Astyanax mexicanus: one gene and its partners. The protein of the gene in region 4 interacts with the protein of the main gene of each other region in a biochemical or structural test. Links are inferred from orthologs where the notes say so. Each region holds a gene or a part of one and is shown on either strand. Other genes may lie near its edges.

Region 1 (7,997 bases), on a different chromosome or scaffold from region 4:
TGTAAAAGCGGCAAGAGTGCGCAGTTGTAGCAAAACGTGCACGCGCACGCTCTGAATAAGAAAGGAAAAACACAGAAAGATGCTCCAAGTTTAATTTAGACTTGAAGAAAGTAGATAAAATAATATAATAAAAGAGAACATACAATATAAAATATTTTATTATTAATATTATTAAATATAGATTTAAGACACAATACATCAGACCGTTAAAATCCTGAAAAAGAAAAAAAAGCTCTGTGTATATTTTCCAAAATAACCCTGTAAACATAGCATGTAATATGTAGAGAAGTATAGACATGCAATATAGAAATAATAATCAAACGTTGCTTTGAGTCTAAATCTTAGGGCAGTATCTGCTCATTCTCACACCATCTCAAAAAAACTGTCAGACTTACCAGACTGTTAAAATCCTGAAGATAAATATTATATTTTATAATATCCCTGTGATAATAGCATTCAATATAAAATAGGTCAAATTGCACTTTGAGTCTAATCACAAGGCATTATCTTATTAGCTTTAAGTAGTCTTAAAACAAACTGACTGTAAAGACATAAAGACAGGGTGGTTGTCTCCCCTGTAATACAAAGCTCTAAACAAAACAAACAAATTTCTCCTATCAAACATATTGCTTCAGCCTAAAGCACTCTCCAACACGAGGGGAAATCTCAAACAGAAGGAACAAAGAAGTACTAGTAAAACATCTAAAACTAAAGCACAATAGCAAAACATATCAGAGCACAAACCGCCTTACCTTCAACCTGCTGGCTTTAAACGATAGATTTCTACCCAGTTACTCTAGCCTGGACTCTAGTTGCTGATTGGTCGCTAATTGACGATGATTGCTACCAGATGGTGTTTGTGGGCTGCTTTACCTGGAGGAGAAAGAAAGAAACGCACAAAAACACAGTCCACTTAAAAATCGTTTTATAAAGCCTTGAAAAAACTACACGACTTTTTAAGTCTGAGCAAATAATAAACAGACTGGGAATCTCAAACCTGTGGGGAATGAAAAAAAAAACTTCTCACACTAAACAACTAGATAATTTTGTGAAAGTCGACTAGTATTATTCTGTCGTTTTCATAAACAGTCTCATTGATACCCAATACAAAAAATAGTGCAAAACCCAATACTTAAAGAAAAAAATTTGAATGTATTTTTTTTTTAGAAGTTCTGTAATTTGCATTACAAAACCTTTTTTTTAATGGGAGATTTTATGGTAATGTACAATATTACCCAGTAAGCTAGTGTGGATTAACCTCTTTACAGTGAATACAACTAGAAATATAATGTATATACTATCCTGAACATATGTGCAAATAAAAAATAAATTTATTATAAATGTATATGATATCAAAAACAAAGTATATCAAAAAAATAAACTCAGAAAATATTCAAAATGTACAGTCAGATTCACTATTGTGCAATCATCATCATTACATATACACTAACGGTTTGGGTATTGGCTTGGGTAGACTTTACAAGTGTTGCTTCCTATTACCACCACTGTAAATAAGCCATTATTAAATAATCTGTTTTCGAAAATGCATCATCATGGGTTTTTTTTGTTGAAAAGTTGGTGGAATTCCCCTTTAAGCATCGAAAGTAAGCAGGCTGCAGGGTGGGGTCAGCATCTACTATAAAGTGGCCACCAGATGACGATATTACCCCACTTTCCAAAGTAAAAAACCTGGTACTTTCCGGCTTCATGATTACTGACATCACATAATGTCATAAATGCATCAGTGAAAGCAGATTGTGGCATAATTATCCAGAGGTGCATAAAACTCAATAAAGTTAATTATTGCATTATCTGTACTGCTGTAGACTTCTAATACATTTTACTCTTTTGGTATAGTGTTATGTTTTTTGTTTTGTTTTTTGAGTCAAGGGTTTATAAAAATGCTCTGCTGCATATAAATGTAAAATGTACTGTTTGATTTTATTATTTTTATTTTATAGTAAAGATAAATTCTAAATATTGATTGTAAGGTTAGCCTAATCGACAGGGATCAATCCTTGTTGTGGACTGTATATTGCTTTCAGTGGAAAATTTCTATTCAGAATGCTGGGATGTACAAGACTAGGCTCAATCCCTCTCTAGTAAACAGCACCATAAGGTTTAAAGCAGAGAAAGTTCTTCAACACAATAAAATGTTCCTCACAAAAATAGTTTTTCTATGACATTACTTAAATAACTCTTTGAAGTAGACGTATTTTAAGGGAGTATAAGTACAAAAGCAGTGGGTCATTACATGATCACATCAGATGAGGTCTTTTCTACTGTGGGGTACCCAGAGAGGGGGACCTGTTAAGGCACATTTTTGGGCACATCATTTTTTTGCAATAGGGGCACCCTAGCGGACATAGCCATTTTCCCCATTTGAAGGACATTCTATAGGGCAGTTTGTGTAATTCGTGCCACTCTGCCTGACACAAAGGCCCAATCCCCTTTCTCTGTTGTAACCCTTCCCCTTTGAACAGAGTTATAAGCGGAAGGGGTGAAATCCTCTGCCTAAGAATTGGGACAACCCTTCAAGGTTTTGACACTTGACTGCTTCATTACCAGAGGAGGCTTGTAGGTGACCTTGCCAGCCTGATGTAATAGCTAGCTGCTAGTTAATTAGTAAACTTTAGGGCATTGTATGTCTCTAGAATGGGGGGCAGGTGGTGCAGCAATTAATTATTATTGTCCATTCTTCAATTCCACTGTGATGGGGAGCAGACATTAGCTTTAATGTTTCTGTTATAACTTAAATGCTGTATTCTTTTGCACCAATTAATGAGGAAATATTAGCTAGCTAGCTAGCTACTGAGAACTACTAACAATTTTGTATTGCTTGTTCTAAATGAAGTGGCCATAAAACATTAAAAATAAACATTAAATGGGGTAATATAGTGAATATTTTTAAGAAGGAAAATACTTAAGATTTTACCAACAGACTAAGGAACAGCTCCAAACCATCATTCTGTGAGGATGCTCAACTCTCTCCCTGCTTTAGCCCCATCCCTAATTTGCCCCCAGCACACATTCACTCAGCATACTGACCTTAAGCTTTTTTACCACTATATTGCACTAATGTTTATACAGGTTCTGTTTACAATGGTACTGTCATTCCCACTTAATCCCCCTATCACTATTGCACTATTGTCTTGTGTCTCTTGTCTCACGTATGTTGATATCTGTGACCTTGTTGTATTGTACATTTAATGTCTCTCATTCTTTTGTATGTATATTTTTATCTTGCTGTACTTGTAACTTTGGGAAGGAGAGTAATGTAATTCCAAGCCTATGTATGTTCTGTACATATACAGTATTGACAATAAAACTACTTGACTTGACTTGTATAGTTTTTTTTGGTCACTTGTGCTGCCATCTTGCCAGTGATTCTCGGTCCTCTATTTTGAGTGTCTAAAAAAAAATCTCTGTCTGAAGGACCAGAGGGGTAGGGCTGGGGGTGAAATGGGATTGGGCCAAAGACGACTTTTCACAGTGAACAAACAATTTTCGTTTGGAGTAAACCACGTATTCCAATAGATAAATTGTAGCCTTCTTTATGTAGTTTGTAATTATGTAAGCTAACAACACAGGCGATAATACCCTTCGGTGAGGTTCTTTATTAATGACTGTGTGTCTGCTCCAGTGAATTCTCACCCTGAAACTCCTCCACGACCCCGGAGGGTTCGTCTGGTAAACACAGACTGCATGGCTGTCCAGTTCAGTGAGAGCTCCTGACAATCAAGTTCAGAGGCTCATAATAAAAAAAACTGTACATTAAATGTTAAGTTCTTTAGGCTATTCACAGTATACTAGTTATATTTTCATAATGTGGTGTCAAATTCAACAGACTATTTGATAATCTGGAGTTCGGGCAACTGGAAATACCCAGAACAGGCAATGTATTCTCAGTGTAATATGCCCTAAATGCCAAACTCGTTTTGCTCGGCTCAACCCTGCTCTCTACTGGCGAATAATTGGTACTTCGACTTTTTAAGGTGGACCGGAAAATCCGAATAAGACACTGGCGAATAAGACGCCAACTTCAGCCTCGTTGACAATCACTGGGCTGGGGTTCAGTCGTCCCGTAAAAGGAGCTGAACTCCCTCATTGTACGCTGCGGTTGTCTGTCATGTGGGGCTCTCCGCGCTGCGGGACCGGGGAGCTGAAGCAGGCCTAGTTCAGCGCTCCTCTGTGCTGCAGAGAGCTCAGACCTGCCCGAAGCTCGCTGGAGGAGAATATCAGCTGTTTTGAGATACTAATGAGTGAGGTGGAAAATCTAGGTTTAGAAAGGCTTGGGATGGGATTAGTTTTTACTTTCTGGACCACCTCAAATTAATTAGCTATGATTTAGATAGTCTCACTAGGTTACATAAACAACGTAGTTACTTGTTAGAGCTGCGCTGTTAGCTTCTTCCACTGTTTTTTTATTGTCATGCCACAGATTTGTTTCGTTAGTTTACATGTAACGTAGTTAGCTAGGTTAGCTAACATACAACTTTGTACAGAAGGAAATGTTGGTGTTTAACTATCTATGGCATGAGTTATATCTTTCATGAGGATTTTTTTTTTAAATATACATTTGTATTTCAACTTTTTATAATAAACTGAATCAAACATATTGTTTGACATGCAGGAGAGTGTACCTGCTTAATGTTGCAACAACCCTGTACCATTGAGGGTTAATGAGACGCTGACATTTTTAAATAAACATGTTTAAAAAAGGTTAAAAAAAGAATGCTACATAAATAAAACAGTATTTTTCTAACCGGCATCTTTAGATAGTTCCCCTAGCAAGTTAACCTGACGCCCACAACCCTCTGAACACTTTGCAACCCTGAGTTTCTGTTGAACGCGACCCGAGCTCGCATAGGCGTTAACCTGCCGGCTGTCAAACTCGCTCCATTCTCCATTGCGATTGGAGCAACAGAGCTGTCAGTTGGATTTCGAGCGCGCTGATTGGATAAATCCTTTTGGGAGGGCGGGGCTAAGCGCTGGGTCGCTAAGGAGGCGCTGCTGTAGCGGAGAGGGCGGATCATCGCGGGGCTAACGACAGCACAGACACAGCCCGAGAAAGTGTCAAAAACAGTGAACTAAACGGTGAGTGCGACCAAATTACACTGTTTAGTGAACGAGCTTCACTGGGGGTTTGAGGCGAGCTGTTGTTTAATTTCTGAAGTTTGTTTTGGACGGGACGTAGAATTATAAGTAGTTAGCCAGTGAGTTAGCAGGCTAGTGTTAGCTAGCGGGCGAGTCAGCTAGCAGTAAGCTGGTGCAGGACTCAATGAGCGGAGAGTGACACGGCCCGAAAGATATGGCTGTCCGTGAAGTTATGCAAGACTTTGATTTTTCTGTGCAGAGCAGTTCCAGCAGGACAGTGACACGCAGACCACCCTCCCGTGTGTGATCTTATCTTCTCAGTAATCCTCAGCTGTAGTGGAAGTGGGCTGTCACACTCGCTCTGCTGCCTGCTGATGTTTTCAGCACCAAAAGTTTAGTAAAGTTAAGGCCAGCTAGGTTAGCCTGCAGCAGCACTCAGCACGGGGATTTGGAGAAGCACAGAGATCTAGCAGTTAGCTATAGGTGAGTCTCTGCACGCGCTCAGCTACAGAAGCACATTCCCGCCACTTAAAATATATAAAAAAATAAACTGTTAGGTGAATTGCTTAGTAACGATGACGTTATCTCATTATTTTGAGATACAAATGCATTATTTTGGGATACTTGATATTTTGAGGCACTAATACATTATTTTGCGGTAATAAGTAATTTTTCGAGACACTAAGATATTTTTGAGTTAATAAGTCAATACCTTGAGACACTAAATCATAATTTTGAGTTACTAAGTAATTATTTTGTAATAGTAAGTAATTATTTTGAGGTACTAAGTAATTTTGTGATACAAAGTTGTTATTTTAAGATAGTAGGTCATCATTTTTATGTACTAAGTCGTTATTTTGGGATGCTGTCTCATTGTTTTGAGATACCAAATCATTATTTTGAGATAGTAAGTCACAACTGATTTTGAGCTACTCATTTTAAGGTACTGAGTCATTATTTTGTGATAGTAAGTAATTATTTTGATATACTTAGGCGTTATTTATAGATGTTCGTTGCTTTTGGGATAAAAAAATCTGTTTAATTCTTTCTGCAGAGAAGCCTTTACGTAGCTTATGTACAAGCAACTATTACCTCTAAATAATGTCATAGTATCTAATAATAATATTTAATACTTTTTTTTAAGCCTGTTGTCGTGAGCAGGGATTCCTTCATTTTGCTGCTTATATTTCAGCCCATATTACTATAATTGTGCCTTAAGTTGCGCTAAAATACAGATGTTGGTGAATTGCGTCTTTCATCAGACATCAATCTCTTTGCTGGCCAGCAGGATTACAGATCAGTGCTGTCACGCTCCAGCCTCTGAGCCTGGTTGGATGGGAGTATTCAGAGAGAAATGTGCGTTCTTGAGCTTTAATATGTGAGGGTAGGTTGTTTGTAATATGTTGTGTCCAGGAATAGGTAAGACAAGATAATGAACGCTTTCTTTTAATTTGTGTATTAGGTTCAAATTCTTGTAATACCCAATGATACACAATATAGCAGCAAGCGAGCAGCAGCTCAGCAGCACAGTCATTGCAACATACAGGAATACAGCCAAAAATCTTGCCCAAAGTGCAGGGAGCAAATAAATTGAGCAATTTCATTAAGGTATGAAGTGAAAAGAATACTTATGGAGAAAATTATGAAGTTGGCTTAGGAAAACTGAGATATGATTCTCCTGTTTAGCTCAGAAACACCATTTGTATAACTAATTTATTTACAAATAGGCCAACAACTCAGACATACATTGCTAGTTTCAGAATTTAGCTAATATAGAGTTTTAGCTGATTTAGAGTTTGTTTTGCTGTGGAGTGAACTGCTGCTGGTTTGTGTAAAGTAAGGGTTTATTTAATTGATTGTTCAGTAAAAAGCAACATACTTTACTAAAGATTAGATTCTGTGTCTCTTTTTTTATACTGTGTGCAGGTCAGCATTTAGACTTTATGTTTATAGCTTTATAAGTAGTAACATAGAGAAGTAAGATCAACCCACACTTATCAATGACAGTGAAAAGTAAATCACAGTTAATGAAAATGATTGTGAAAGGAAGGAAACTGAAAGAAGTATGCATTTTTGTTTAAAAGATTAGCATGATTAACATTTAACAAAATATATAGTCTTGGTGTTTTTTCTGCAGTGAAACTGTACTTTTTGTTTATCCTAGCATTGAAAGCTTTTTTTTCCCTCAAGGACCCAACAGTAGCAGTTTAGCATATGCAGGTAACCCACAACCCTGTGATCACTAACCCAGCACACTAAGCACTGAGCTGTATTTGTAACTGGTTCTCAGTAATAACATTGTGTCTATGTTCATATCACACTAATAGAGACTGCAGCGATATGAGTATTTTGGAAAGACGCCCATTGTCACTGCTGTTATTGGTTTTAGATAAGATGGCTAAATAATTTCAGATAGTTACCTTGGGTAAGGTAAAGGTTTACAATAATTTGTATGTGTGTGAAAATAATCAGTGTTTAATCTTTAGTCACGTTTTTGCAGTTTAGGCAAAAACATGCACATAAAATATATGTGGTGTAGTTGTTAGTTTATTTGAATGACTTTGAGTGACTATTGCGAACCCCATAACTCTGAGACAAACAAAATTAAGGCGTGGCTACACAAACAAGTGTAATTTAAACATATTTTTTTTAACCAGAAAGATTTTAATAAATTGTTAATGACATCAGTATTAGTCACAAATATGTGTTGCATCCTTGAAATCCCATATAGGTCCATTTGTAGACAAAATATTACAATAATGACTTTTGTCCTTCTGTTTTAGTAAATGACAGTAAAGACAGATAGCTTTGTCACTGTATAACCTGGGGAATAACCAGGAAAAATCAATAAGGAAGACTAACAAGAGAAGGACACTTCAGATCAATGATTGAAGGGCATA
Region 2 (7,723 bases), on a different chromosome or scaffold from region 4:
AGACAAAGCCCATGCCCAAAGCGCCTTTGTTCAGAGTGATAATGGTTTTCACCAAAGAAGGGTCTAGCTCCAGACATTTGATATGGCCAGATGCATCCTGACTTGTCCCGGCATCTAAAAGAGGGATCGAGGCCAAAGACACAAACAGCCACACGAAGACGCATACCACCACAGCTCCTCGACTATTCTGTAGGTACATATAGGTGTATGGTTTAATAATTGCCACAAAGCGAACTATGCTGAGCACCATTAGAAAATAAACGCTCCCATACAGGTTGATGTAGAACACGAAACCCATGAAGCGACAAACAACATCTCCAAAGATCCAATGGGAGTTCATGAGATAGTAGACCGCTCGAAAGGGCAGTGAACACACCAACATCAGGTCAGAAATCAGGAGGTTTAGCATGAAGAGGTTAACCGGGCTGAAGGACTTCATCGTCCTCCTCACTCCGATGAAGAAACATAGTGAGACGAGGTTGGCAGTCAGTCCCAGGAGGAAGATAGATAGGTAGGCAGCTGGGTAGACACTGCGCTTGAAGGCACCGACTGAGCAGTTGCATTCAACAGTAACCGTGAAGTTCAGACACGGCTTAGTCATCGTAGATCTTTGGTCTGGTAAAAGTCCTGTAAAAATAAATCAGGTATATAAGATTATATTAGAAACAAGCTGAGACAAATATCTAAAACAAATGTCAGGTGACGATATACAGTAATAAAGATACTAGAAACTAAAAAGTGCATACACTAAAAGGAATGCATAATGGTTGTGCAGCTGAATGGGAGAACAAAGGATATACAAATGATAAACAGCCCTAAAGCAGTGCATGCAGTTAGTTTGCTGTGAGGAAAATTAAATTATAAGGCATGGGCTTGGACAAAAAGACCAAAAAGGGAGCGAATGGGAGGAATGAGGGATGATAAAATGACAAATATATATATATATATGGACCATACTAAGCACAATAAGATATTACACAAATAAAGTACAACACAACACACTACATAGATTTCTAATGCACATATAGGAGAAGGTGTCCTGTGGGTACACACTGATGCTGAGGGGTATGCAAAAGTTGTGATTTTGTTGTTGTCCTCAAAACACTAAAACAAAACCTTTGAATTAATGATTTCTTTTAATAGAGAAGAATCCAATGTAATAAAATAGAATAATATATATTAAAAATTAAACCTGTAAGTGTTAATGAACTTCAAACTAGAAGGTTAACAAAATGAAATACAGTAATATCTACTTGTAAATAATAATGTGGATATTTTATATTATATCAATGGATGGAGGGTTGAATATTTAATTTGTTTAGAAAAAGTGAGGCCAACAAGTTTCCAATTAAAAAAATGGATGTATACCCATTGTAATGGACTTGTTCTCTCATTGTCAAAGACCAATGAAATAAGGCACATAATACAAAGCACTTACAAATAATACAAAGCAAATATATAGAAATACACCCACCTGAGATATTGAACTTGAAACTAGAAGGATAACAAAAAGACATACAGCAATTTCTACTTGTAAATAATAATGTGAATATTTTATATTACATATCATACCATATATCATTGCTGTTTCTCCAAAACTGCAATTTCATCGGAAAAGAAAAATCCTTCTTAACATTTAATAAAAGTTAATGTAAAGGATTTAATTTTATTAAGTCAATTTGAAGCATTTCTATTTCAATTGGCACATTTTTTTCTGTGACAGTGACAATATTATACGTTATTATGGTATAATATTAGTCCTGTGGTATATTGTAATGTTCATGTAGAAATGTGAGATATTTACAAAATTAAAGTAAAAACAGCAACAATAGAATAAAAACTTACCTTCTAAGGTCTGCTAAAGACTGATGCTCACATTTAGATCTGTGAGGATCCGACTGACACTTTCACTGAAGAACAGTACTGGGAAAAGAACCACAAGCAGCTTCTTCTCTCTCAGTGTGGTTGGCTGAGGCTCTGTTGCAGCTCCACCCCATGAACTGCACTGCTCCGAAACCACTATCAATTTCTTACAGGATTACTGTCAATCTACAGACTGACTGATTGCACTTATTGATAAAAGAAATCTGTAATCATGTAAACATCAGTTTCATGTACATGTAGTGCATACTCATAGCTCTCTGGATAGTCCTGTCTGCAGAAATGATCACCATGCCTCAGAAAGAGTTAACAAAAAATCATACCTGATGCCAAGTTAAACCCTTTGCCTATAAAAGGTGCTTCAATCACACATGTTCCTGCTTGTTTAAGAATGCTGCTTATCTTTTTCACAGCTTAATGCTGTAAGACTGAAAGTGTATACATGAGCCCCCCACCCCACCATTTTCTTTTCCAGAAAACTTTCACAAGTGCTGATCTTGGTCCAAAACCTGTGACCATACATGAGAATGTTTTGACTTCCACTGAAATTCTACGGAGGTGGATGAAACGCAGACACACATAAATGTGTTGCAAAAGTATTCCCCAACAATAAACATGAATAATGTGTCCAGGATTTAAATAGTACTATTTTGAAATCTGTTTGCACCTTTAGCATTTTCTTAAATAAGCTATTTAAATAAGATATTAGCGAAACACTGCAACATTGATAACTGAACCATGAGAACGGAAACAATAAAGAAGTCCAAGGAAAAAAACACAGTAATAAATGATAAACTGCTTAAAATGCTTAATTTGAGAATAAACACTTTCAGCACCCCCCAAAAAAATCAAATATAATGAGCTCTGACATTTGGCATCCTGCCTTTTCTGGGACAAAAGACTTTCTATTCAAGAGAACCACAAAGGCATATTTGGATTTCATTAGAAAACCAAAGAAATGACCTAAATAAGATGTGGGAACATATTTTGTTGCAATTTAAGAACAAAATATTTAGAAAATGTCTGACTTTCAAGATATGTGAATTTAGTAAAGCCACAAAGGTTTGAATCATTTTAGTAAAAAAATAAATAAATAAAATCTTGGCCTCGCTTTCTTTGGGTAGGTGTTCCCTCCAATGACTGTAGAAAACATAGAAAGCACAATATCTCTAAAAAGTGAAACCAACACAGTGCCTCTGCTGGAAGGCTGCAGTATAAGGACAAAACAGCTAACATCTATTTCTTTTCCTCTAATAATCTGCATTGTTTAATTTTAACAGTTAGTTTGTCCTGCAATATGGAACTTGCGGGTGCGTCTGGATCCACCTCTGTCCTGCACATATCACTGAGCTGTTAGTGTCCCACCTTGTATTACTTCTAGGGGTGTCCGACCATTGTATGCAAAAGCACCTCAGATTATCACACCACCATGCAATGGTGCAGTGTGTCGCTCCAAAGCAGCGTTGAAGCACAAGGCCTCCATGCTCAAACCTGATCGTCATCAAATCCCACACAGAATTTGGATAAATTTGCAAAGATGATATGGTTCTGTAGGAGTTTAAGTACTTTGTTCATGACACCACTGCAAATAAGTAATGATGACTGGCTTAAAGAGTTTTTCAATTGTGAATTTGTAAAAGGCCCCTCTTTAAGTCTGTCTACTGTGTAAAATACAGAATTACAATTGAGTGCACTGTTGAGGCATCACTGCCTAGCAGTCAATAATCTCTCACCAGGAGGTACACTACCCAAATGTCTGAGAGTCTTTTTGCGAGCCAACAGAGAAAGGACTATTTTAGTTTCCTTCTGGCCAATTGAGTATGTGGTCAGACCACACCTATAGTCATTCACATACCATGCCAAACGTTTTAACTCGAATCATTGTGCTAATCATTGAGCTCAGGTTCCAGATACTTCCATGGCCACACCTGTACAGGTGTACAAAACCAAGCATCTAGGCATGCAGACTGCTTCAACAAACATTAGTGAAAGAATGGGTTGCTCTCAGGAGTCAGGGAATTTCCACGTGGTACCCTGATAGGATGCAGCACTTGACGTAACATATTCCACAGTCAACTGTCAGTGCTATTACAGATCTGGAAAAAAATAAGAGACCCCTTAAAGATGAGTTTCTTTGATTTTACCAAATTGAAAACCTCTGGAATATAATCAAGAGGAAGATGAATGATCACAAGCCATCAAACCAAGCTGAACTGCTTGGATTTTTTGCACCAGGCGTGGCATAAATTATCCAAAAGTAGTGTGTAAGACTGGTGGAGGAGAACATGCCAAGATGCATGAAAACAGGGTTATTCCACCAAATATTGATTTCTGAAATCTTAAAACTTGAATATGAACTGAACTGAAGCTGTATAACCTAGTGGAAGAGATTTTAATCTGGGTGGGGTTCTCCGCATCCCTATGATGAGTATGGACAAGTATAATAAAGTGTTCATTAAATGTATATATTTAAACACAGTATATGGAGACTTTAATTTTTTTTCATTTACAGGTTTTCTTGACATCAATTGAGAAACAAAAGTAGTACCCTCGACCATCCGAGTAGGGTGTTTATGGAAGGAAAAACATGAAGTGTTAAAGTGACACCAAACTAATTATTTACAATTGGCACAGAGACCTGTTAAGAAGACAAGGCTACTGCTTTAGTGATGTGAATGGGGCTCCTCTGATAGAAGCACAGTTCTCAGTGAGTCCTAAGCTGGTTTTACTCTTTAGTTGAACTTTAGCTAGCTAACTAGCTAACGAACATCTCCAGAAGCGAGCAGAGCGTCTCCTGCATGATGTCAGCTGTGTGAAAAACATGCCTCTCCTCTCATCATCCGCTGTGAAATGAAGGACTGATTCAGCGGGCAGGAGAATGACAGCAGCCGGCTAGCTGCTGAAAACTCCCTGGAATTATCGGACCACTTTCCTTTGAACGAGCCTGGATTTGTGAATGGAAACGAACCTGAACAAATACATTAAAGCACCCTGTGGCTGAAAGCGCCGGCGTTCATTTTATAACACGAGGTATGTTGACGTTAACTTTTTTAATTATGTGTTGGCTGGTTAGCAACGCTAGCTAGCTTGTTGAGTTTCTGTCGAGCCTCCTGTGTAGCTTCAAAACAAGCCGGCTATAGCCAGCTAGCGAAGTTAGCAGTATGTTAGCTAGGTTAGCTAGCTAGCTAACTTATCCAAGTACTTGAGCTTTAGATATATCTGTGTTTTTAACAGATTGGGCTGATATGTGTACAATAACTAGCAATATAGTTAGCTAACAGTTATATATCGTGATAATAATAGCTCGTATTAATATTAGGTGCTTTAACTATACGGCATTTCTCAATTTAGCAAGCTAAGCTAGCTTCCCATCTATCTAGCTAGCTAGCTAGCTTGGCTGTTTATAGAGCCTCAGTAAAATCTGCAGGTAAATCGTTACTACAGCGATACAGTACCGCCAGCTTTGATTTTAAACTGCGTTTCTGCCCATATTATCCCTGTTTTGTGTAACTACATGGTGTAACGTTAGCCAATCATATACGTAACTATGTCTACCTAACTTATATAACAGATAGCTAGTTAGCTTTATTAGTTAGTTAGTTAGCTAGTTTTGGGATGTACGAAAAATAATAGCTTAGTTTTTGTAGCCCACTTTATTCTCGTCAGTCAGCTGTTAGTCACATTCAAAGTTGGCTTAATATAAATAATAGTTTGACAGCCTGGGGACAAATAATAGACTAAAATCACACCAACCCATATTAAAACAATTCGGTATCCTACCCATAAATGTTCCCTTTAACTCGTTTTGTTGCTTAAATGCACGTTATCAAATGGATTTTCGTACCCTTTAATACTGTGAACGTGGCCAATGCTGCAGTACACTTGGGTACTGCAGCACAGGGGTACAGTCATTTTACCAAAAGCAGAGGCCAGCACATTTTGCTGATTCCCCTACTGTAACAAACTTCATAATCCTGCACAAACTTCAGAAACCTGACAGTTAGCTAACAGGTGAGCAGAAAGATATGTGTTTTGAGCAGGAAAGTCACAGAGCTGTGCAGGTATTTGCACCTCCTGGTGCACAATATTACCCCTAAAAAATCAAGGAAAAATATTTAGCTAATTACTGTTCTATTGCTTTATTCTCATTTTGGTGGTTAAACAAGACTAAAACAGTTAACTGTAAGTGTAAGAGAGCAAAAAACACTTTCTTGTTTTGTTTTATTTTATTTATTTATTTATTTTTCATTTTATTTCTTTTATTTATTTATTTTTTCTTAAATTTTCTCCTCAACACGGCCAATTACCCAACCCACTCATTAGGACATTAGGACTCCCCCTATCACTAGTAATGCCCCAACACCAGGAGGGTGAAAACTAGCACTGATGCAGCATTGCCCAGTAGCATCACTCGGTTTCGATACATCAGCTCACAGATGCATTGTGCTTATCAACTTCTCTGTAAGAGTGATGTGGGGAGAGAACGCCATCTACCCACTCAGAGAGAGCAAGGCCAATTGTGCTCTATAGAGCAATTGTGCTCTATAGATGGCGAGCTACATGAACAGGATTCGAACCAGCAATCTCTTGATCATAGTGGCAGCTCGCTGGAGCATTCAGAGCCCACTTTCTTCTTTTGTTATTGGTTAACCTGCCCCAAAGCCTTTTGCTTGAGTTATGTAATATTTTGTGGCTTGTGTATAAAGTTGCAGTTCGAAAAGTCTCAAGCAGTTAAGTCAAGTGTTCAAACGGCTTGAACGTCCAAAACTGTTTTAGACCAGGGTCCAATGGCCGTACATCCTGTTCTCCTTGCTTGAGGAAAAAATGTTTGTGTCTGTTTATCCTGTTTGTTGCAGAGTAGCATGCTAGACGTGGGAAAGTGGCCAGTGTTTGCACTTCTGCCTCCTGAGGAACTGCGACTCATCCGCCAGGCCTGCGTGTTTGGCAGTGCTGCTAATGAGGCGCTTTACGTTACTGTCAATGATGAGGTATGTTTTGCTTATTAAAGGACAGTGCTTGTGTGTGATAGCCCTTCAAATATAGGTAATCCAATAAATTGAATGAAGTAATGTCCGTAATTGTTTGCAAAGACTGTTTCAGATTGAAATACTATGGGTCCGATATCAGGGTTTGAGAAGAGGGAAAGTTGCCACACACACACACACACACACACACACACAGAGAGAGAGAGAGAGAGAGAGAGAGAGAGAGGAGTGTACTAAGCAGATAGAGCTTCGCTATATATAGGCCTGTAATACACCACAAGCCTTGTTTGTACCCTGAGTAGTGTGTGTGTCACTGGAGTCAAGTTTTTTCCACTAGACTACTATAAAGTGTAATTTGTGGTTTGGAACACCCAAATTTAACATATTTAACCATATAAACATTTTGATTATTTGAACAATATTGAGAGAGTGAGTTAATATAGCTAAACTAAATAATGTATCCAATATAAATAGAAATGCAAAGTTAGTACATGTGTATTTGTCTGCACTAAAGTCTTAAAATACCTAAAATTAGAGTTAGGTGCAGCACATCAGACACAGATGATTAGAACTCAAAGGTTGTATATGCCTTTTGAATTAGAGAATTTCATTCTAAGACAAATATTAGAACAATTAAAAATAATTACAATAATTTTAAAGAGAAATGCCTGGCATTACTTAGTTTTATTTGTGGAGATATATTGCCTCCATACCAGTGTTGTCCCCCTTTCCCCTCTTCTTTCTTTCTTAATGGGCTTGTTTCCATTCATGTCTTCTAAACCTTAAGTACAGGCAGTGGAGCAAAGCTTCAGATGATGCCAACCTATTTTTATGTTGGGTTTCTGTTTCCGTTATAG
Region 3 (7,638 bases), on a different chromosome or scaffold from region 4:
GTGTTCGTGTGAGTGTTAAGACCGACTGACATAATTTTTTTTGGCGTAAAAAATCGAAAACGTAGTGGAAAACTCTCTCAGTACTCCATACTTTCGTGAGTGAAAACAAGAAAGCAAGAGTGAGCGAGTGTGTGTAATCAAATGAGTTTAATTTGAGGCGAATGTGAGTGAGTGTAAGTGAGTGAAAGTATGGATGAGAAAGCAAATGAAAATACTGCTGTTTCCACTGCCATGTCCAGTTTTCTCTTTGAGATTCTTAGCTGGAGCTTGAAGTCTGCATCTGAGACATCGTCCAGATCCTCAGGACTACTACTGTGTCACACACACACACACACACACACACACACAAACAAACACAAATTACGTTTACTTGCAGGGACATTTCAGTATCATGATCAAATCTAAGCTGATCAGTAAATTATTTCAAGTCTAAAATTAAGTGTCATCCTCTTGATTAATTAGTAACCATAGATTTTTTTTAGAAATATCAGTTAAGAATTGTTTTAATGTTACTGGTGTGGGTATTGTTCTTTCATACTAAATGGAATAGGAACAATTTATATTTAACAGGATTAACATGACACTAAAGACTTGAGGAAAGAGTTAAATTCCAGATCTGAGATGTATTTCTATTAAGATTAATGCAGCACCTCAGTGACATAAAGCTAAGTAAACATGGTGTATTTCACCAGTGTTGTTCTTCTCTTGATGTAGAATATGGCGTTTAAAAAGTGGATCAGTGCCCCAATGTTGTGTGTGTTGGCTGTGAGTTGTCCTGTCAAAGAGAGATGTACATGTTCATAAACATCCCAACAAATAATAAAACAAAACATCAGGGAGGTGTGATGAGTACAGGTTGGTAAATTTAAAGATTTACTAAAATTATAATTCAAGTTTTCTATTAAATTTTTTCTTCATACCTCACATATCACCCACATTTGATATCATAATATCAAAATATATGCGTACATGTTCCCAGAGGCTTTAAACACCAGTTTACCTGTCCCGGTCAGACTCTTCATACTTCATGCTCTTCCCTTTATTCACAAAAACCTGCTGGAAAACAGAGAGGGTAACAGCTTTACCTCTCATATCAAAGGACTTTTAAAATTGTTTAATTCTACTGAAAAAAGGTAAAACACATTAAATCACTAGCTGTACTATTGTACAATTCTGTAGGAATAAGCTGTACTATTGTAAAATACTGTAGAAATAAGCTGTACTATTGTAAAATACTGTAGGAATAAGCTGTACTATTGTAAAATACTGTAGAAATAAGCTGTACTATTGTACAATTCTGTAGGAATAAGCTGTACTATTGTAAAATACTGTAGGAATAAGCTGTACTATTGTACAATTCTGTAGGAATAAGCTGTACTATTGTACAATTCTGTAGGAATAAGCTGTACTACTGTAAAATACTGTAGGAATAAGCTGTACTATTGTAAAATACTGTAGAAATAAGCTGTACTATTGTAAAATACTGTAGAAATAAGCTGTACTATTGTAAAATACTGTAGAAATAAGCTGTACTATTGTACAATTCTGTAGGAATAAGCTGTACTATTGTAAAATACTGTAGGAATAAGCTGTACTATTGTAAAATACTGTAGAAATAAGCTGTACTATTGTACAATTCTGTAGGAATAAGCTGTACTATTGTAAAATACTGTAGAAATAAGCTGTACTATTGTACAATTCTGTAGGAATAAGCTGTACTGTTGTACAATTCTGTAGAAATAAGCTGTACTATTGTAAAATACTGTAGGAATAAGCTGTACTATTGTAAAATACTGTAGAAATAAGCTGTACTATTGTACAATTCTGTAGGAATAAGCTGTACTATTGTAAAATACTGTAGAAATAAGCTGTACTATTGTAAAATACTGTAGGAATAAGCTGTACTATTGTACAATTCTGTAGGAATAAGCTGTACTATTGTACAATTCTGTAGGAATAAGCTGTACTATTGTACAATTCTGTAGGAATAAGCTGTACTATTGTACAATTCTGTAGGAATAAGCTGTAATATTGTACAATTCTGTAGGAATAAGCTGTACTATTGTAAAATACTGTAGGAATAAGCTGTACTATTGTAAAATACTGTAGGAATAAGCTGTACTATTGTAAAATACTGTAGGAATAAGCTGTACTATTGTAAAATACTGTAGGAATAAGCTGTACTATTGTAAAATACTGTAGGAATAAGCTGTACTATTGTAAAATACTGTAGGAATAAGCTGTACTATTGTAAAACGCTAGTTAAAGTTTTAGAACTAGAAAAGGACTCTAGCAGCAGCTAATTAGCAGATTAGCATTAGCACGGTCGAGTTTAGTGGCTCTGAGCGGGGAATTTACCTCAGAAATTGTGAGATGAGCGGTTCTACAGTTTCAGGAGCGCTGAGGAACCCGGTTCTCCTTTGCAGCAGAACTTTTCCCCGGTTCTGGTTCTAGCTCAGTTTGAAAGAGATCTCTTGGTTCCGAACGGCTAAATTTAGGCGCGCTTTTAAGCGAGTTCTGATTGGACAAAACGGCGCAGCAAACGCTAGAAAACAATTGGTCAATAACAGCGTCCAGTAAACGCTGATGGATTGTTTTGTGGTTTCTACCCAGCAACACAACCAGAGAAAAAGCTACGAGCCCGCTGTTTTTAATTGGATGTTCAGCAGTAATCCTCATCTTCTTCATTATAGTAAATGGGTTATATCATATATCATTGTTAAAATACTGACTAAATAACATATTTGCTAAAAATCACGTTTAGAAGCAGTGACTCATGAGAGTAGGGAAGCGCTTTAATGTCTGTTTGACCATATTCATAAAAACTAAACAAAAAAAATATCTACAACATAAGAATTATACAATTTAAACATTAATGCAAATACAATAAATGAATATATATAAATGGTAAGATGTACAGTGTGAAAGAAAGAGAATAAGATAGGAACTAAGGATTAAAATTTAAATACGCAACAGTGTTTTTACGATGCTGTAAAATAATCAGGAGGTAGTGTATGGTTTAATAAATATTAATATAAATGGTTATATAAATATTTAACATAAACACAAATTAATGTGATGAGAAAAATAAACTAGACTAAGTTATTGGAAATGTATGTTAGTTTTATGAGTGTGATTAATTGCTTTCTAAAATAAAGCATTCCTGGATTTATTGTGTTGGAAAATGGTGTGTTTTAAGCACAATTTAAACAGAATTAGTTCACATATTTCTCAATATTTTGAGATACTATTTAAATATTTTGAGATACCATATTAATATTTTGAGATACTAAGTCAATATTTTGAGATACTATAAAAAATCCTGAAGAAGAAAAAATATTACTGTGGATTTTTTACATAATGACCCTGTGAACATAGCATGTAATATAATATAATGAATGGTGAAATAGCACTTTACACCTAATTCCAAGACCTTTATCTCTTCAGACTTAAGTCGTCTCACAAAAATGACTGACGCACCTAATACTCAATACGTCAGACTGTCAGTGTGAGGTACTGTTTATTAGTGTGAGGTACTGGGTATTAGGTGTGTCAGTCATTTTTGTGAGACGACTTAAGACTGAAGAGATAATGGTCTTGGAATTAGGCGAAAAGTGTTATTTTACCATTATTTTTAATATTAATTAATTTATATTATATTACAGGCTGTGCTCACAGGATCATTGTGAAAAAAATCAGTAATATTTGACCTTCTTCAGGATTTTGACAGTCTTATGTATTGTGTAATAGGTATGATAGTTTTCTAGACGACTTAAGACTGAAGAGATAATGACCTGGGAATTAGGCCAAAAGTGAAAGCAATAACATTTTAATTCATATCATCTAATTTTATTTACATTATATTTCACTCAGAGTTAATCTCTGTCCCTCGCATTGTGTTCTCTCCTTTATTCAGAGCGTTTGCATAGCGCTTTGCTTACATGCTGTTATTTACTGTTAAAATGCGCCATCTACAGGCGGCCGTATGTATGTTCAGCCAGCATTTAAGATGGAACGGAAATCTGAAGTAGACACTGGCGAATAAGAAGCTATAGATAGTATCTCAAAAATATTGACTTAGTATCTTAAAATATTGACTTAGTATCTCAAAATATTGACTTAGTATCTTAAAATATTGACTTAGTATCTTAAAATATTGATTTAGTATCTCAATATATAGAGATAGTGTCTCAAAATATTGAGATAGCAGTTTACTTAATAATAATAGTTTTTTTTGCTGGATTATTTTTATTTTTTAGGTGGCGGGAATGGGCTTCCATATTTAAGAGATATGATTGTTGATAAAAAAATACTCCTCGCTCCCTACATAGTGCACGACTTCTACAATCAAAAATGGAACTGCATTTAGTGCACTAGTTAAAAAAAAACATACGTAGGAAGCAAAGAGCCAATTGAGATTCACCCTGACATTTTTGGCGCCATTACAGTTCAGAACGTGGTTGGTCGACAAGGTCACGCGGTGTGTTACGTATCTCTCAGTTTTCGCGCCACACATAATCCCCGCCCGTCTTTTCTAAGAATCTATCGCTGATTGGTGGAGTGTGTACGTATCCTTTTGCTCTCATTGGATGATACCTTCAGAACTCTTGTTGTGATTGGTCCGCAGCGCAGTTAGACTCCCGCCAGTTTTCGCAGACCGTGCTGTGTGGAGTGGAGCGTGCGCGGAGACACAGTGACGAAACTTTAACACTCGCGTTTCTAGATAATAACTCCTATAATCAATATTCTCCAAGGAATAAATCGATTTAGGATCGATTTAGGAGGCTGAACATCAAAAAGACCGATTGGAAATGGCACCGAAGGATTATTTAGCCGAGAAAGGTAAGAAACTGCAGGAACTCTGAGGATCTGAGAAAGAAAAATGGCGATCAGATTTTTAATCATGTACTGACAATTATTCTGTGTTAATACAACATAATGTTTTTAATTTCGAGTAAGACGCTTTTATCCGGTGGAAACATTTTATAGCGTTTTAGTCTAACGGACCGTTCCACCTTAAACGGTGCTCTAATTCTGTAGCTTTCTGTCGCTGCTAGCTGTGTAAGTCATGCAGCTTTTAAGGTGGAACTACTTGTACTACTTGAATTACTTAAGGTGGAGCGACTTGTAGCTTATTAGTAGCGGGAGTTTCGGGATGGTGTGTGTGTGTGTGTGTGTGTGTTGATCAGAGCGATTCCACTTATTTCTCCTTAGTGACTCACTATGATTAATAAATAGTGGTTGTCAGCTAGTTAGCTTAGCTGTGGTTAGCAGTGTTCATTGTTCGCAGGCTAACTTCCCGCCGCGCTTTAACTGCGCTATTAACCACACAGCTCCTGCTCCGCTGTTCATCACACTTCTATAAGCAGCAGCTGTAAAGTTAGTTCTGTTAATTTAGATCAAACCGTGTTTTAGACCAAAGACTAAAGTTTTTCCAGTAAAGTTTACAGAGCTGTGGACGAGCAGCAGTACCCGGATGCACGGATAAGTCAATGAGTCGGTTCGTCTGAGCCGAGCATATGAATGAACTTGACGCAACTACGCAATGTTTACGTCTCAGATCAACAGTAAATACCGAATTAAATCCAAACATAGAATTTATACACACAATTTAAGGTCGTTAATATCACACAGCTGCGAACTGAGGGTGAGATCTTTAAACCGAGGAGCAGCGGATTCCTCTTTTGAGTTTTTATAGTACGGTCAGCTGCTTCGAGTGAACTGGCAGGAGTCGACTCTGGGATGACTCGATCTGCGCTGGTTACCCGGATGCACCCGTAAAACAAAGAGCTGTGGCGCGCGGAGGAGCACGTGCAGTGAGAGTCTGCGAAACACGCACGCAGTTTGTTTACACACACAGACACACACAGAATATACGCGCAAGTAGTAAACATATTAATCGTTAATGTAAATGCGGAGTAGTGTTAAGGGATCTCTATATTATATTGGAATAAAATATCTGCGCGTTATTTTGCTTACTATATTTTGAACCTCATCGTTAGTTTTATAATTGAAATGTAAACAAGTAAACAGACTGGCGTGTCCTGAAGTGTAGATTAAGTCCTACTGTTCCTGTCTGAATGCGTGTGCTGGGGGAGGGTTGCTTCTGTGTTTATCCGGGCACTATTTGGAGCAGCGCGGAGGGGCACAGTATGTGAGAAGGCCGGGAGCCATGTGCTTCTTTGTTTACAAAAACAGCAGCGAGCGCGGAGCTCCGTCTGTCTCTACCCCGCTCTCTGCGCGCTTACAGCGGGGTTCCTGGGCAGCCCGGCGCGCGGAGAAGACCGCAGGATCCAGTCGCCGACACACCGCGGTTCGTATTCGGAGCGGGGCTGGGCTCGGAAAAAGGAGGGCGGCTGGGAATCCTAATGTATAAGAAAAGCTGTTCGGAAAGGAGCAGGGGTGGGGGTTAAAGATGGAGTTCCGAGCTTTAATAAAGAGGGTTGACACACAGGGTATATAAATATAAAAAATGCTGAAAACTCGAACTCTACGTTCCACCTTAAATTAGTCCAGCAGTTAGAGCAGCAGTGCGCCATAGGATCCAGCGTGAAAGTGCTGCACTAATTTAAGGTGGAGCTGACAGTTTCTGATAGTTCACCGATTTTTAAGGTTATTGGTTATTTATTAAGGTTACTGCGCGCGCGTGTGATGTACCTGTACACGGTTATTGTGACGCACTAAAGCTTCTAATAAGCAGTTGTGGTCCTCCTCCGCGTGGGGGAGGGTGCAAACCACGTGATCACTGTTTATCAATGGGAGCTTCTCCTTTGTCGTGTAGCACCTGCTCCCCTTCACTAAGTGTGAGACATTTTGGACACACTTATGTGGTTTAATCTGGTACGTGTGTGTGTGTGTGTGGGGGGGGGGGGGGGGCGGGGGGGGGGCTAAACATAAGTAAGGGTCAGTAATGGGTACAATCCGATCTGAATTACATTGGGCAGGTCTTTAGAATTGGCGTTCTAATAGTTTTTTTAATGTGTGTGTGTGTGTGTGTGTGTGTAGAGAAGTGCAAGCGCTTCCTGCAGGAGTTCTACTCTGAAGATGATTCTGGAAAGAAGGTGTTTAAATATGGAGCTCAACTGGTGAGTAATACCCACACACCCTCTGTCTTACCGACACTGAGCACTGTCACCTTTTTCTTCTCCAACTAAGTGTGTGTGTGTGTGTAGGTGGCCCTGGCACACAGGGAGCAGGTGGGCTTGGTGGTGGACCTGGATGACGTAGCAGAGGAAGATCCCGAGCTGGTGGAAAGTGTGTGTGAGAACACAAAACGGTACACAGTGCTGTTTGCAGATGCAGTCCATGAGCTTCTCCCAGAGTACCGGGAGCGAGAGGTACACACACACACACACACACACACACACACACACAGCATTCCACTCAGAGGTGTTTGAGCAGCTACTGAAAACTGGTGTGTTGCAGGTAGTGGCCAAAGATGCGCTGGACGTTTACATCGAGCACCGGCTGATGATGGAGACCAGGGGTCGTGACCCCGCCGACATGAGGGACCCCAGGAACCAGTACCCTGCTGAGCTCATGAGAAGATTGTGAGTGAACAGCATATTAATGCTTAAGGGCATAAAAATAAAAAAAGAACACAAATGACTCTCTCTCTCTCTCTCTCTCTCTCTCAGT
Region 4 (7,963 bases):
GATCCCATTTCTTCCCAAGTTGCTTATTGACGTCATCAGTTGTAAAAAGTGCTATATAAATTTGACTTGATTTCATTTTTTATTTATATGACTATTGTGTGTCTACAACAGCGTAAGTGTAAATATATAATAGTAGAGTAAGGTTTTATGAGTTAGTCTGTTAATCATGGATTGTAATGCCTTTCAATATAAGCAGTGTAAAAAAAACATGTTAAAATATGAAGAGTACACTGCTTATTAAAATGTGTTGCGTTTTATGAAGAAGAAAAAAAACTGTTAAAGTGGGATAAAAGTGGAAATTATGTGTGTTTAATAGCTTTTAGCTGACTATTTTAACCTAAAAGTATTGTTTGAAAAGCTGTCTCATTTTCGGTAATTTTACATAAAATGATTCTTATGCAGATATATCACTGCCAATGTCAAGTACAGTTTATAACTGCAAAGAAACTGTATAATGTATATTTATAATTCGCCAACTTCCTCTTCTTAAAACACAAAAAAACTTAAGACAATTGTTATGGCAATTTAAAAATTAGCATCGGATTAGATGTATAATTATTATAGAACAAAATGCAGACAAAAAAAATCAATAATTCATATATTCATATATTGCAATATGTTTTTTATTATTAAGGAGTAAACTTTATATTATAATAAAAAAGTACAAATCTTGCAAAGCTATCAAAATTGTCACATTTTATTTTGATTAGGTTCAATAAATCAGCTAGTAAGAAAATCACATTCTTACATAAGCCATTATCCTGAAGGGGTCGAATCAAATGATCTGATCATCTGAGGGTGTAGGAGATTTCACCACAAGTGGCCAGAATCATAAGAAGAACATTTTGACCAAAAGGTCAATCAGAATGATTAATAAATGTAAATGAAAACTTTGTAACTACAGTAAATATTGTAGACTATGTGTAACTACTTTGTACAACTCTCTGACCAGGAAACAAACAAATAAACCAAAATAATAATAATAAAACATTAAAATCTATCTATTACCAAGATCATGGTGCCAGATTTCTGGTTTTGAAAAGGAAAAGTAAACTATGTGTGGTGGGGGAGGACCAAAAAGACAAAGCAATTTCAATTACATTATTATACTATATTATTACACATTTGTTGGGTTATTAACCACAGCAACAACATTAAAACATTAAAAACACTCATTTCTAATATACAACTGTTACAATCCCAAAAGAGAATCAAGTTTAACCGCAGAATAAAACAATCTGAATAATTTACAGTCCTAATGAAAAGCTGATCATGAGCCTTTCAGAAATTTTAGAAATAAAAGCCAGAAAAAAGACAACTTTAACATTGTTTCAGTGTAAAATACTGTACACATAAAAAGTAAATATAATAATGGTAAATTGTAAAATATATAGTAAAATAAATTACAGGTAGACAATTTTACAGTGCATGACTTCTAATTCTTTATATTTGTTATTTGTTATAAATCAGATCCTCTCCTGTCTCCTGACTATGGGCTTTAAAGTAGATATCGTCATGTTTTCCTTCTTAGATGGCCATGGAGGGCTCCGGTCTGACGACTCCAGCAGATTACAGATGATGGACACAGTGAGTTCTTATCTTGTCTCTGCGTCTTTCTTTACGAACGACCGGCCTCCACACGTCAGAGAGATTTTACGTGACTTAAAGTCTGAAAAAAGTTAAAATAGATTAAATTAGTATAATTCTGGATTATACTTTACTAGAGACAACATGCTTTCTGCTGATTAAAAGTATCTGGATTGGAGCTGCCCTAGGTCTGGCCTTGAGCACTTTGACCAATGTTCAGCCTCACCCTTTTACAAGATAGTACCTCACAACTTATACAGGTGTAGGCCTTCCCAAACACAGTACCCAGCTAACAGTGAACATAAGAACATTTAGTAAGGTTCCAAGAAGGTTAGACTATAAAGTTCCAGAAATAAGGTTCCAGGAACATTATGAAAACATGTGACATAATAATAGTTTGCATCATTATTAGAACATTTATCCCATAGTGTTCTCAAATAGACAAATACTAACATTACAGAAATGTAAAAAAAAAAACAAACTATAAATTAATACATTGATACCAGTGACATTGCAGCAATGTTACCAGAATGCTTAATTTTTTTTAATTAAAAATCAAGAAAACTTGATAGAACATTCTAAAAACATTAACCCTTTCTGAGTCACAAAAACCTAAAACTTAAAAGTACATATGGTTATTGAAAAGAATATTTACAGAAGAGTCACTACATCACTACACACCTCCAAACTTCATGTAGCTTCAGATTAGATCAACAACAGTAGAGAACAGTAGCGAGACTCATGTAATGGAGAGTTTCCATGTCCGAACAGCTCCATCCAAGCCTACAGGTGCAGGTGAGCAATTTTTTTTTTTTTTATTGCAATATAGTGTATATAAATGCAAAAAGGGAGGGGAATATATAAACAAATACGACAGGTTGTTAATACACATTAATATTTGTGGTACTAACCTGCTAAAAATGCACTATTAAATTAAGTACATAATATATACTGTAATTTATAGTAGTGTTTAGTATGCAATTGGGACAGTGTTTTATGACTCATTAAACAGAAAGGGAAAATGGATATATATCCAAGGGTATATATATATATATATGATACAGCTTCAAAATAAAGAAAACCAATCACAACATACCTTCTACTAAAATCCTCTTCTGAACAGTTTAAAGTTTACCTGCTTTTTAAACTCCCTCTGTAGACACATTTTAAGTAGAACCTGCTTTTGCTCGTTTTCTCCTGTTCCCATACAAACATTGTCTGTGGAGTTTGACCATATTTGGACAGCTATTTTTTAAGATTCTCTCTGAGGACTGTTTGTACCTTAAAATAGCTTTTTTTGATTACTGAGTTGTAATCAAGGCCCATGTACTGAGGGCTCATTATTTACACAGATATTGTTTTAATCTCCTTTTATACCTTTTATACTGCATTAGTTGGAAATGATTCTTTATTCTCACAGCAGTGAGAGCTAACAAAGCTACAGTACTGTCTCCACGGGACAGGGTGAGTTTAAATATAGTGTTACAATTTGTAGTGTTACAATGTTTTACACAGCCTACTTATTTAATTAAATAATTTTAGTACGGTTCATAGAGGGGTTGTTTAAACCAGGCAACATAAAATAGTAATTGAATATTAATTAATTGAATAGACACATTCTGTACCACCTTAACATATTACAGTGGACCATTAATGTTGGGTAAGTAAACTTAAACAAAGGTAACAGTGCAAACAGTGTAATTAGTAAATGAGTGACACACGTTTTTACAAGCATATTTACCATCCTGTGTTTCTCTACTGTTTGTTCTTTTATGGTGGGCTCATGGGCCCACTGATTGTAACAGAATTGCCCCATTAGACTGGAGCACTACTGCTTCAGTCTAAAGTGTTCTTCCAGAACTGCGTCATGCAATCATATTTGTGTAAAATTCTGTAATAATTTTCTGTTATATTACTCTACCCCCTAAGTCCACATGCTTCACATAATTTCAGATGCCACCATATCTCTCAGCTTGTCCAGAAATGCATGCATAGAACTGTCCATGAAGGAAATGCACTCCAAGCATGATTGGTACCTATCAATTACTTTAGTATACATGAACACTGTAGTTCCATTTCCTTTTGTTCTATAGAAACAAAACACTTTCCACCACGTTGACAAATTGCAATCAACCCCTGCTTATTTGGTTGACCTGCCCCCTTTTCCTAGGCCAAGCACCTCTCAGACCACCATTATCATTACGCTTCCAGTGTAAAAACAGGATTTTTCCACTGCAGACGCATTTATGCGAAAGATAAGTAATGCGTCAAGGGTAAAAGTGTGGTTTATACATTGCACTACAACTCCAGCTACTCCATGTAATCAAGAGAATAGGTGCAATGCAGGTCTAATATATAATACTAAATTATTAATATTTGAAGAAAGCAACTTTCTCTTAAAAGCATTACTTGTGAGTCGGTTAAAGCAATGTATTTCAGAATGCAAATGAAATGGGCAAATGAAGCTGGGCTACTCATTATTTCATTATCAACTTTTCACTACAGTGTTTTTCAATTTGTAATTTATTGTATTTTTGCTCAGACTTTTTTATGGCTTTTTGCTCAATCAACATGGTAAAAATATTGATTAAAACTTTCTTAAGTTGTGTATCCCAAAGGGTTAACAAAACAGGCTTGGTCAATGTCAATTAGAAGATCAACAAGAGAAAACAAAAAAGGATAAATACTGTACCTTATAGTGGTGTATAGTAGTGTTTAGTATGCAATTGGAACACAGCCCTTACTTTTTATGGCTTTTCGCTCAATCAACGTGGTAAAAATGTTGATTAAAACTTTTCAAGTTTGATTTTTACAATGTGTGTATTGTTTAGTTTGCATTTGGAACACAGCCTTTAGTTTTTATTTATTTTTTGCTTAATGAACATGGTAAAACAAATGTATTAAAACTTACTTACTTACAGTGTATGTATTGTTCAGCCCAAGGGGTTAACCTATCTCTGGGGATTTCTCTCTAGTGCAGAATTAATACTAATACTAAAGTAATACATTAACATTTGGGGTGCTAACCAGTCAAAACCGCACTATTAAGATTAGTATATATTATATACTGCACCTTATAGTAGTGTTTAGCATGCAATTGGAACACAGCCCTACCTTTTAATGTGTTTTTGCTTAATCAACGAGGTTAAAATATTGATTAAAACTTTTTTAAGTTGGATTTTTTTACAGTGCATGTATTGTTTAGCCTAAGGGGTTAACAGAACAGGCTTGGTTAAATCTCAATTAGGAGATCAACCAGAGAGAGAGAGAGAGGGAGAGATAGAGAGAGAGAGAGAGAGAGAGAGAGAGAGAGAGAGAGAGAGAGAGAGAGAGAGAGAGAGAGAGGGGGTTGGAGTCTATCTCTGGGCATCTCTCTCCACCCCTATCTCTTTACGGGACTGCCAGCCCGTGCTGTGGTATTCCAGGAATGCGTGGTGAACATGGCGGCCGCGCTGAAGGCTCCCAAAAGCGGGCTGCTGGAGCTGCGCGTGGCGGTGGAGCGCTGGAGCCGCGTCCTGGCGGCTCTGACCGGGGACGCGCTCACCGTGAGCCCCGCCGAGGCCAACGAGGAGCCGGCTAAGAGCAAAGCCCCAGCCCCGGCGCCTCTGAACGGGGAACCGAGCAGCCTGTGCTGCCCCTCTGTCCCAGAACACATCAGCAGCGTCAAGCGCACAGTGAGGGTCACCAAGCAGGACGTCGGGGGACTCGGAATCAGCATTAAAGGTAAGATCTCTCAAAAGAAAAACTCAGCTAGACTATTACCAATGTCTCAGAATATCACTAAACGATGCGGTGAAGAAGTTGAGCAAACCAAAATGTGGCGCAACTATGAAGAAACTATTTTAAACATTGAAACACTGTTTTTTGTTTGCGAAAGTAAAGAAGTAGCAGCTTGTTAAAGGGCAATAAGTGTGAAAGGAAGGTCAGAAGGACTATATTTACATTTTAAAACAGATTTAGGCTTCAACTGAAACAGATATTAATAGATATAACTTTGTCCAGTATGTGTAGCTCCCCATAGAAAAGCTATAGCAGCAAATGAAGTCGGTAAATCAGTCCAATCCAGGATTTATGGTTGTTTATAATGACAGCTTTTAGTATGTATTCTTAACAGTCACACACTTTTTGAAAGAAATCTAGAGACACTTCTTGTACATTTTTTAGAAATGTTAGATTTTTTTTTAAAACAACTTACCGTGTTTTCCATACTTAAAGGAGAACTCCGGTGTAAAATGGACTTTTGGTGTAGTAAAACATGATAAAAAGTACTTACCTTTGATGAATGAGATCCAGACATTTTAACAGTTTGTCCAAACACCCTTCAGACTGGGTGACACAGGGCAAAAATTTCCCCGATAAGAAATCGATTTTTCCACCGTTATCCAGCTCAAAGTAGTTCCACGCCTCCTTGCTAGAATTCAGAGAGCCCTGTCATTTAAAACGAGGCATTAATAACTTTAAAAAGTTCACAAGAAGCTTATTAAAAAACACTGTTTACATCCTTTAATGCTAGCTTCAGCTCCAAGCACGCCATCACTGAACTGAAAATAACATAGACATATATATACTTAGATTTCGCATATTGTAGCAGCGTGGCAGACAGGCTGTGCGGAATCTATGTATATATATATATGTCTATGTGATGGCGGCATTCGAAGCTGAAGCAAGCGTTATAGGATATAAACGGTGGTTTTTAATAAGCTTCTTGTGCACTTTTTAAGTTATTAATGCCTCATTTTAAATGTCAGGGTTTTCCGGATTCTAGCAAGGAGGGGTGGAAAAAGCGATTTATAGGGGGAAAATTATGCCAAATGTCACCCTGTCTGAAGGGAGTTTGGACAAACGGTTACAATTTCTGGATCTCTGAACGCTGCGGAAGAACGGAGGTGTGTTGTTCATCAAATGTAAGTACTTTTTATCATGTTTTACTACACTTAAAGTCAATAGTTCTCCTTTAACTCTACTTCTTTCTAAAAAGGTATGTACAGTTGTAGCTTAGACAAAATCATTCAAAATCAAGTAGACTAGAGTGAAATTTCTAACTTTTAAGATAAAACTTGGTGGTAATGACAGGGACCAGGGGTTGCGATATTATAATCAATCCAATAAAAAAAAAGCCAATTTTATTGACCGAACAAAACCACCAGCTGCTTTATAAAATCTACAAATCAATGAATTCCAGTTGGAAACTATTGGGGGTAAAAAAACTAAAAACTACAAACTGAAGACTATAAGCTTTTTATTAGGCCTCATTATACCTGCCATGAATTCTCCACAGACTAAAAGTTAAAATTGAAATATGTTTTAGGACAAACATAAATTTGATCTAAAACCTGTTGCTAAACAGTGTCTCAGGCATGTTGCACTGTATTCACAACCATTAAATGCAAAACATTGTGAAAGGGAAATTTTTTTATTAGAGTCTATTATTAAGTCTGGTTTCTGTCACCAGAGCTATGAACATTTAAGTTGCTTCTCAACTGGCATTTCACACCAAACCATTCTAAACGACTTTGTTTAAAAATTAACGACTTGTTACCTCCTTTAACTGAGAACAAAAACTTAGTAGAACTTAGTAAGGTCTTCTTCCAACTAACTAGAACAACCTTATCTAATAGGTCTTAGTCTAATGTGTTATTAATAAAGCAATATACACTTAACCATGCATCAAAATGAACCACAGGACAAATACAATACGTTAAAACTGTGTGCAGTTCATGTTTGCAGTTGACTGCCCTTTGCAAAAGGATTGCTCTCACATGGAAAGGTCATCCGTAGAGCTTTACCAGTGTTACTCTGCTAGTAGATGTTTGTGGATCAGTAGGGCTTAGCTCACAGATTCTAGACCATAGCTCACAGATTTACACTGACACCTGGAATGCATGTTGATACTACCTAAAAACGAGTAGCAAGGACAAACGCTGAGTCAATAGCAGTAGATGTTTGGTAAGAATACAGAATTTTATGAAAACATTTGTGTATATATTTTTGTGTGTCTTTGGCCGACCTGTCCTGTTAAACCGCTGGATGGCCCTAGCAACCATGCTGCAGCCTGATTTCAACTTTTTCGCATTCTTATTATAACCTAGGCCATCTTTATTTTAGAGCTCCAATTCTTTTTCAGTTCCTCATAGTTGAGAAAGAGAGAGTTCTTTGCCATGAGGTGCCATGTTGAACTTCCAGTGACCAGTATGAGAGAGTGTGAGAGCGAGAACACCAAATTTAACACACCTGCTCCCCATTCACACCTGACAACTTGTAACACTAGTGAGTCACATGACACTGGGAAGGGAGTTTGTATGTAAGGATGTACTCACTTTGGTTGCAACTAGTTTATACATTCATTTACACTGTTATAGGAGCTGTACTCCAACTA

The links.
Region 1: the proteins of snta1 (region 4) and microtubule-associated protein 4 interact in a test that uses a peptide from one of them, tested with the Homo sapiens proteins (2 studies listed by BioGRID and IntAct). The link is inferred for Astyanax mexicanus from reciprocal best matches to the Homo sapiens genes SNTA1 and MAP4.
Region 2: the proteins of snta1 (region 4) and cysltr2b interact in a test that uses a peptide from one of them, tested with the Homo sapiens proteins (2 studies listed by IntAct, with this or other methods). The link is inferred for Astyanax mexicanus from reciprocal best matches to the Homo sapiens genes SNTA1 and CYSLTR2.
Region 3: the proteins of snta1 (region 4) and mcm7 interact in a test that uses a peptide from one of them, tested with the Homo sapiens proteins (2 studies listed by BioGRID and IntAct). The link is inferred for Astyanax mexicanus from reciprocal best matches to the Homo sapiens genes SNTA1 and MCM7.

Annotation. Positions count from the first base shown.
Region 1 is NC_064413.1:25,210,738-25,218,734, reverse strand, and holds the start of microtubule-associated protein 4, read left to right. Parts: upstream 1-4,981; 5' UTR 4,982-5,097; intron 5,098-5,396; exon of another isoform or gene 5,397-5,580; intron 5,581-7,997. UniProt on the Homo sapiens protein: Non-neuronal microtubule-associated protein. Promotes microtubule assembly.
Region 2 is NC_064425.1:22,199,477-22,207,199, forward strand, and holds the start of cysltr2b (cysteinyl leukotriene receptor 2), read right to left. Parts: upstream 3,001-7,723; 5' UTR 1,846-3,000; intron 628-1,845; 5' UTR 602-627; coding exon 1-601. Other genes in the region: rcbtb2 (RCC1 and BTB domain-containing protein 2), read left to right, coding at 6,744-6,869. UniProt on the Homo sapiens protein: Receptor for cysteinyl leukotrienes. The response is mediated via a G-protein that activates a phosphatidylinositol-calcium second messenger system.
Region 3 is NC_064426.1:61,512-69,149, forward strand, and holds the start of mcm7 (DNA replication licensing factor MCM7), read left to right. Parts: upstream 1-4,635; 5' UTR 4,636-4,811; coding exon 4,812-4,842; intron 4,843-6,209; exon of another isoform or gene 6,210-6,313; intron 6,314-7,005; coding exon 7,006-7,085; intron 7,086-7,172; coding exon 7,173-7,337; intron 7,338-7,425; coding exon 7,426-7,550; intron 7,551-7,637; coding exon 7,638-7,638. Other genes in the region: cohesin subunit SA-3, read right to left, coding at 216-312, 970-1,022. UniProt on the Homo sapiens protein: Acts as a component of the MCM2-7 complex (MCM complex) which is the replicative helicase essential for 'once per cell cycle' DNA replication initiation and elongation in eukaryotic cells.
Region 4 is NC_064412.1:8,278,237-8,286,199, forward strand, and holds the start of snta1 (alpha-1-syntrophin), read left to right. Parts: upstream 1-4,956; 5' UTR 4,957-5,027; coding exon 5,028-5,310; intron 5,311-7,963. UniProt on the Homo sapiens protein: Adapter protein that binds to and probably organizes the subcellular localization of a variety of membrane proteins. May link various receptors to the actin cytoskeleton and the extracellular matrix via the dystrophin glycoprotein complex.